Arabidopsis thaliana: one gene and its partner. The protein of the gene in region 1 interacts with the protein of each later gene in a pairwise test. Each region holds a gene or a part of one and is shown on either strand. Other genes may lie near its edges.

The links.
Region 2: the proteins of CKS2 (region 1) and ICK1 interact in a protein complementation assay, tested with the Arabidopsis thaliana proteins (one study listed by BioGRID).

The regions. Positions count from the first base shown.
Region 1 is NC_003071.7:11,911,481-11,915,556, reverse strand, and holds CKS2 (CDK-subunit 2), read left to right. Parts: upstream 1-2,131; 5' UTR 2,132-2,296; intron 2,297-2,408; 5' UTR 2,409-2,444; coding exon 2,445-2,497; intron 2,498-2,591; coding exon 2,592-2,652; intron 2,653-2,959; coding exon 2,960-3,097; 3' UTR 3,098-3,406; downstream 3,407-4,076. Other genes in the region: AT2G27980 (Acyl-CoA N-acyltransferase with RING/FYVE/PHD-type zinc finger domain-containing protein), read left to right, coding at 1-30, 122-178, 260-517, 591-655, 732-788, 879-972, 1,268-1,408, 1,491-1,607; CKS1 (cyclin-dependent kinase-subunit 1), read left to right, coding at 4,014-4,066. UniProt on the Arabidopsis thaliana protein: Binds to the catalytic subunit of the cyclin dependent kinases and is essential for their biological function.
Region 2 is NC_003071.7:9,975,826-9,980,108, reverse strand, and holds ICK1 (Cyclin-dependent kinase inhibitor family protein), read left to right. Parts: upstream 1-2,018; 5' UTR 2,019-2,187; coding exon 2,188-2,385; intron 2,386-2,478; coding exon 2,479-2,522; intron 2,523-2,640; coding exon 2,641-2,907; intron 2,908-3,022; coding exon 3,023-3,089; 3' UTR 3,090-3,519; downstream 3,520-4,283. Other genes in the region: AT2G23440 (uncharacterized protein), read right to left, coding at 379-627. UniProt on the Arabidopsis thaliana protein: Binds and inhibits CYCD2-1/CDKA-1 kinase complex activity. Regulates cell division which is crucial for plant growth, development and morphogenesis. Functions in turning cells from a mitotic to an endoreplicating cell cycle mode.

The DNA of each region.
Region 1 (4,076 bases):
AATGCTCGCACTGTGATTATCTGTGATCAGGTACTTTGTTGTTCATTGCTGTATAGGGTTCCTTGCCTCTTAAATCTGCTTCTGGTCTTCACCATTTTTGGTTTTGTTGTTTTCTCCTCAGTGTGAAAAGGAATTCCATGTTGGCTGTTTGAAAGAACGTGACATTGCTGATCTCAAGGTTCTTTGCCTATTTAGCTCTTTCATTCCCTCGGGTGAAAACTCAGTATCTATCTTTCTCATTCTTGTTATGTCTTAACAGGAGCTACCTGAAGAAAAATGGTTCTGTTCCCTCGGGTGCGAAGAGATCAACACTACATTGGGCAATCTGATAGTTCGCGGAGAAGAGAAGCTAAGTAACAATATTCTGAATTTTTTAAGGAAGAAGGAACAACCTAATGAAGAAAACTGTCCAGATTATAAAACCACTCCTGACATAAGATGGAGGGTCCTTAGTGGGAAGTTGACCTCTTCAGATGATACCAAAATATTGCTTGCAAAGGCACTTTCCATTCTTCATGTAAGTCAAGACCACATTTCAAACTCTTCTGTCCTTTCTGCTGTTTGTCCCTTCTAACAATTGTATGCTATAGGAACGGTTTGATCCTATCAGTGAATCTGGGACCAAGGGAGATTTGATACCAGCCATGGTGTATGGGTAAGCAATTTTGTATCTTCAATCAGTCGAGTGGATTATTCTTTGTGCTGATCAACAACTTTTGTGTGTGGAACAGAAGGCAAACAAAGGCCCAAGATTTTAGTGGCATGTACTGCACTATGTTGGCTGTGGAGTAAGATTCTTCTTCTTTTTCACTCTAATTTATTTTCTGTGACGCATGTTTCATCTTTTTAATGTTGTCCTTTTTTTGTTTCTTGTGCAGCGAAGTGATTGTTTCAGTGGGAATCTTTAGGGTTTTTGGGTCAGAACTTGCAGAACTCCCTCTGGTTGCTACCAGCAAAGATTGTCAAGGGCAGGTAAACAGTTTTTATCTGGAACCTTGGATGTTTTTTCTTTACAACAGGTGCCTACTCCTATAGAATGGTTAATAAACGACTCACTCTTACTGTCAATCCCATACATTGATAAATTATACAGTGATACATCTAAGCAGACATGTTTTTGTGTCGAATAGCTTAAGAGCAGAACAATGTGTAGCATCTTAATTGCAGAAGGAATTTTTTTGTGTCAAATTGTACCTGGGGGATGAAATGCTTGTGATTGCTCTTTTTTGAGAGTTTGAGAATTTATGTTTTTTTTTTCCTATTGTAGGGTTACTTCCAATGCCTGTTTGCTTGCATCGAGAGGCTACTTGGGTTCCTAAACGTGAAACATATCGTGCTACCAGCAGCAGATGAAGCCAAATCCATATGGACTGACAAATTTGGTTTCACCAAGATGACCGACGAAGAGGTATATATCTATATCCATATAAACTTATATACACTCCCAATGAATCCCATCTCTGATACACACTGTGTTTGTGTGTTATTAGGTGAAAGAATACAGAAAAGACTACTCGGTGATGATCTTTCATGGAACATCTATGTTGAGAAAGAGTGTACCAGCACCGAGTGCCGTGAGTAAAACTGAGGCCAGTAAGGAGGAGTAAGCTCAAGGTTGTCTTTGTTTTTTGGTTTTTGGAAAGTTGGTGAAACGATTGGATGCTCTTTTTTAATCTAATTTCGGGTAGTAGCCACGTTCTTGTACAGGTTTCTCCCCTAACGTGTCTTTCTTTGTAATGGAAACTAGAGAGAAAGATACACAAAAGGGTTAGAGAATTTGGTTTTGGTAGAGACGAAGTAGAGATAAGAGGGGGAAGTAAATGGGGAAGTCTAAAACATTAGGGCATTCTTTTGGGGGTTTAGTCATGATTATCCGAAGCTAATTTTTTTTTGTATATTAGTGCCCAAAAATGAAATTCAATTTTCTGAAATCTTTTTCTTTTTGTCACTGATGTTTATATATCGAACAAAGGAGGTATACAAAGCCGGCGAGTATACGGACACCTGAACTCTGACTATAAGAGGAAGATACTGATGCCTTTAGAAATGAATCTCTGAACCGGGAATTATACCGGTTTGATTAACGTCGAACCGTAATCAAAATTTTAGGGCTCCACTAAGCGGGAAGGAGCGCCTCTAAGAAATTTGAAACTCAAAAAAATCAAAACACCCGTTGAGAAAATGCCCCTATAAATCCCCATAATTACTTCCTTACCACAATGCCTTTTTAATTCCCTTTCGCTTTCCCTCTTCTCCCCTAAAATTCATTTCGTTTCCGATCGCACTTCTTCTCAAGGTCTGCTTTACTTCCCGATTCTTAGATTAGGGTTCGATTTCTGATTTGTTTAGGTTCTCGTCGTTGTTTAGGGTTTAGATTACTGACAGATTGCTCCATTTCTTTTGTTTAGTAAATTTAATAGACGTTTGTTGGGTGATTTAAGAAGATGGGTCAGATCCAGTACTCCGACAAATATTTCGATGATACTTTCGAATACAGGTGATTCTCAGTTTGATTCTCCTCCCATTTTAATGGAGTTCTCTCTCACGTTTTAGTTTCAGTCTAATCGCGTGGTCTTTTATTTTTCTCTCAGGCACGTTGTACTTCCTCCGGAAGTTGCTAAGCTTTTACCTAAGAATCGTATTCTTTCGGAAGTAAGTTAAAAATTAGGGCTTTCCTCTATTCGCTGTATAACCCTTGAATCATCGTAGGCTAAGAGATTTACATGTTTAAGAAATTAAGTTAGGAAATTGAAGTTTGGACTTTTGAGAGTCGAAGAAATTGAAGTTTCTGCTTAGGAATTTGAAGTTTTGCTTCTCATTAACTTGTTTATTAACTTTAGGTTGTGTAATTGTCAGCAGTGACGAAGATAGTTTAGATATTTTTTTGTGTTATCAGTCAATTCTCAGTTTTCTGATTTTGAAGTTAACAGTTTTCTTGTTTTACAATCTGGTTTTGTAGAGTGAATGGAGAGCCATCGGAGTGCAGCAAAGTCGTGGATGGGTTCATTACGCGATTCATCGTCCTGAGCCACATATCATGCTCTTTAGGAGGCCTCTTAACTACCAGCAGGAGCACCAAGCTCAGATTGCTAAGTAGAAGAATTATGCAAAATTCTCCCTAATCTCTGTTTATGTCTCTCGTAAACGAGGTTTTAAAATACTACTCTGATGTTTTGTTCCTGTAGTTTTTTTTATTGTGTTCATGAATTCTCTTCAGTGGAGAATCATGTGAGTTTGGTAGAACAACTTTTAATGTTATGTTAAGTCTGGTCCTTTGCTAGACTTTGGTTGGATCCACGTTTGAACTTCTTCATGGTTAAGAATGAAGACGTTATTTCTCATGCTTATGTGCTTGTTTCATCATTTCAACCTCTTTTTATTGCTCCTCTTAGAGTCTTAAGTCCATAACTATGAACAACAAACAAGGTATCATTACAATGCCAATCTGAAGGTCTAATCACGATTCTCATGGCGATACTGATTCAAAGAAACTCATATTGTGTCTCAATCACCACATTCACCAAACACCATATATTCCTTACTGTACTACTATTAGTGTATTGAAACCAGGAGATTCAGAGCCATTTTTATAAATTAACTAGATATGTATCTTATACCTAGTGTGAAGCACTGATTGTTGGAATTAAATGAAATTTCGAGAAAATGAACGAGTTCGTAGTTTGATGGTAAATAACAAGGTCTTTGGTCAAAGCAACCAAACAAGTTGTTGAATTTAATTAGAACCAAACCAATCCACCCAATTTCAATTCATTTTGGTAACTAACCGGTTTATAATCATTCATACCCAATCGGCGTCTTCTAAAGAATTTCAAAACTCTAAAAAGTTAATCAAACACCCCTCTATTTCCTCATAATTACATATCTACCCCAAACCACTTTATTCTCCTTTCACTATCTTCCCCAAATTTCAAACGATCAGATTACAGATTCTTCAATTCCTCTTTCCCTTCTCCTCCATTTCCTGATTAAGGCTTCACATCTCTGAGAGAGAAATGGGTCAGATCCAATACTCCGAGAAATACTTCGATGACACTTTCGAATACAGGTAAAGCTCT
Region 2 (4,283 bases), 1.9 Mb from region 1:
TTGAAGACATAAACAAGTAATCGAAATTGCTTCTATAGTTCTATTCCTAAATCGGTTTGTGATTAGATCGAGTTACGTATGATTCAGTTCAAGCGAATGACATATCTCGATAGAAAAATTTCTTAGTTCAAGCGAGTGACACATCTCGATAGAAAAATATATGAGAAAATTGGAACCTGATAAAAAAATGTATGTGCTTTTAAAATAAGATGGATTACATCAATCTTAATTTAATCAAATAAATATTATTACAATCACACTTGCAAGAAACTGAATATGACGAAACTGTACGTAAATACATATTCAGAAAAAAAAAGTCACCAGGCCAATCATATTTTCAACATGTAATCACATAGACGATGCTATTGTTCCTCTCCGTTAATTATGTACGGAATGTCCAATACCGGGGCTATGACCAGGTTCCGTAGGTCTGAAGGTATCAACCCCGTGGCTCGGCGGCGACTCAAGTGGCTCAGTCGGAGGTGACGACGACAATACAGAGCCACCAGCTCTGATTTCCTCAGACGTCGTTACGGTGAATTTGGTGAGTTTTCGGCCTTCAATTGAACCAACACTAATAGTCAAAAGAAAGATAAATGCAAAAACGTAAACATTAATCGTCGCCATTACTAGAAAAACCGAGACGAGAATTAGAAAAAAAAAGAAGCTAAATTATAATATTTAGTCGAAGGCGAAAATGTATTATGTATTGATGCATGAAACCTCTTGGACCATCTGATGTATTTATAGGGATGAAATTTTACATAACATGGGCGCAACACTTGAGGAGATAAATTAAATATTTAGGGGGTATTATTGGTTTATGATTTTAAAAGAACTTTAACGATTATGTAAAATCGTTTGTTATTCAATCAAGATTTTTAAAAAGTTTATTAAAGTTCTTTGTTATTAATTTAAGATTTATAAAAAGTTTTCTAATATCTTTATAAATCTAGGGTTATAGATTCATACTTTTTTGTAAAGTGAGTAAAAGTTTTATGTTATTCAATTAAAACAAAAGTCGTCTGCATGACCTTCATGTAAATTTCAGTCCCTTCTTTTGATTGAGAAACTAGGGAATTTTTTGGATTGAAAATTGCTTGGTGAGTTAAGGAGATCTAATCTTGATGCTCACTTTATTGCCAAGAGCGTAACAAAAAATGATCGCCGTTAATCGTATGTAGCAACTAGGTTTTCTTTTTGGTTAAAACAACTTTTTGAGGAAGAAAAAAATGCCTAGTGTAATACTGGTTGATCTAGAATGATTGTCCTTGATCCACATTTTTTTGTATGTTTGGTTGGAAATTATGAAGTATATATTTATCTTTCAGTGAAAAAAAAAATATTTTTAATTTTTAAAGCAAGACATGGTAATTTGAATGCACTCGCCACTCCATTTTGTTCATGCTTTGAGACAAAAACAAAACATAGAAAGGCTGACAAGGCCCATGGGAAGTGATGGAGGCCAAGTTTAGTTCTTAGAAACCTTTACTATATTATGACTTATTAAGCCCAATATATCACGATCGACACGTGCTGTTGACAACTTGACATCAGGCTAAGCAAATACGCAGGGATAACAAAAATATAATTTCTAGTGTCAGTTTTACTTTTACCTTATTTTACTCACAGGTACGTAGTTTTTAGGCTATCCGTAACAATCCACCTATACTATACACATAATCTATATATAGTCTCTATCCAATTCATTTTAAAGTAATATGAACTTTCTAATTTTACCTAAACTATAAAATTCATCCCAACTATACAAAAAGCTTGTCAATTATAATTTAAAACATTTTAAACGGTTTCGCGTAATGGCAAATCTGTGAATTACCAATAGATGAGAGGGTTTTTAAAATAGTTAGTTACACCACAATTATTACGCCTCCCGTTCCGTTAAGTCACCGTTTATAACCGACACGTGTCAATAAAACAAACCATCGGCATAAGTAACTCCATAACATCCAAATAACGGCGCCTCCAGTTTCCCCGTTAAAGATTCCCCGTCACTGTAACGGGACCACTAAAACACGCCATTTCTCTATCACACACAGCACAAAACTCAATCCTGACCGTTCAAAACCAAATTCATCATCTTTCTTTCTTCTTCTTCCTCATCCTCTCAATCATATCTCTCTCTCTCACAGAGATTGTGACTTCACGCACACGTAACCTAAATCGAAGATGGTGAGAAAATATAGAAAAGCTAAAGGAATTGTAGAAGCTGGAGTTTCGTCAACGTATATGCAGCTACGGAGCCGGAGAATTGTTTATGTTAGATCGGAAAAATCAAGCTCTGTCTCCGTCGTCGGTGATAATGGAGTTTCGTCGTCTTGTAGTGGAAGCAATGAATATAAGAAGAAAGAATTAATACATCTGGAGGTTATTTAATGTTGTTGATTCTAGATTCTTGTAACTGTATATGTATCATTTAATGTTAATGTATTTTTTTTTGAAATTTTGAAATTTTTGTAGGAGGAAGATAAAGATGGTGACACTGAAACGTCGACGTATCGACGGTGAGTGTTAAAAAAAAAACTGAAAATGATTTGAATTTTGAAGGTTTTATTATTTTCCCGGTTATTTATTTGACTCTCTCTTCAATAAATTTAGAATCTTGCTTGTGAGTTATTTTAGGGGTACGAAGAGGAAGCTTTTTGAAAATCTGAGAGAGGAGGAGAAAGAAGAATTAAGTAAATCCATGGAGAATTATTCATCGGAATTTGAATCGGCGGTTAAAGAATCGTTAGATTGTTGTTGTAGCGGGAGGAAAACGATGGAGGAGACGGTGACGGCGGAGGAGGAGGAGAAGGCGAAATTGATGACGGAGATGCCAACGGAATCGGAAATTGAAGATTTTTTTGTGGAAGCTGAGAAACAACTCAAAGAAAAATTCAAGAAGAAGTAAGTTTTTATTTTATTTTGTGAGTTTGATTTTTATAGATAATATATTTTTTATTCATAATTTAAAATTGATTTTGAGGTAAAATTAAGAGTGAGTTTATTTTTTTTTAATTAGGTACAATTTCGATTTCGAGAAGGAGAAGCCATTAGAAGGACGTTACGAATGGGTAAAGTTAGAGTGAAGAAGAAGAAGAAGTTTATGGTTTTTTTTTTAACTTTTTAGATTTTAATATTTCAGGGAATAAGTTAATTTTATTTTGTTGATTTGGAAATATAAGATTTGTAGGAGGAATGTTTTTAGAAGTACGAAATTGCACAGAAAAAGAAGAAAGCTTTTTAACAGATTTTAGAGCCCAGAAAAGTCGTGTCTTTTAGCTCTACTTTTACCTCTTCTTCGAATCTTGTGTATCTTTTAGCATATTCTTTAGTACATTTTTATGTTTTTGGTGACTGATAAAATTCTATCCCCACACAGGTACAACCACACTCATTTTTTTGTCTTCTCCGTTTTAATAATATTCAACCAAAAACATCAAATGCATTTTGGTAGATTATCTTACCGCCCTAAACGCTTAAAATTATTTTAGAATTTTATTTCTTACAACGTTTGATATGGATTAAAAAGTACTATGAAATTAGTTATTATTGTTCTACTACTTAAATTAACTAATCGACAATTTCAGTGCAGTTTTTTGTTGAACAAAATCGTACCAACCATGTCAGCTAACCACACCAACTAATTTTTTTGTTTCATATTCAGCACCGAATATGATTGAGCTCGACCAATCAGAATTTCAAGATGATTCTGTTATTCTTAAAGTTTATTGATTAATAACAAATCACAAACATTCTATCACACGAAACTTGGTTTGAAACTTTTCAAAATTTTAATTATAATAATACTAGCATATAATAAAACTTTAGATCTGTAAAGGGCATACTGTACTGGCCCAATGGTTAGAGAATTTTGAGATAATGCCATAAATACATTATTCCAAATGATGCAGGACCATTTTGTAACTAGACAAATTATCCGAAGACTTGGAAACAAAACTCTTTCATGGACCATTTCAGAAAATCTTCAAAACAAATGATCATGGACCATTTTGTATATGTAAGCTTAATTCAGATCACAAACAGGTTAAATGAGGGACTCAAATAAACAAAAACAATTCTTTCATCGAGGGCTGTTTTATTTTCGTGATATTGTTAAGGGAAACTTAAAGATATGTTTGGAATGGCCAAGTCAACTAAATTAACTATTTTTTAAGAAGTCAAACTAAACTTTAGGATTTAAATGACATTTGAAAAGTTCATGTTTTTTTCGTCAACAATATGAAAGTTCATGTTTTCTCAACATTTTTTTCTTTAATCAA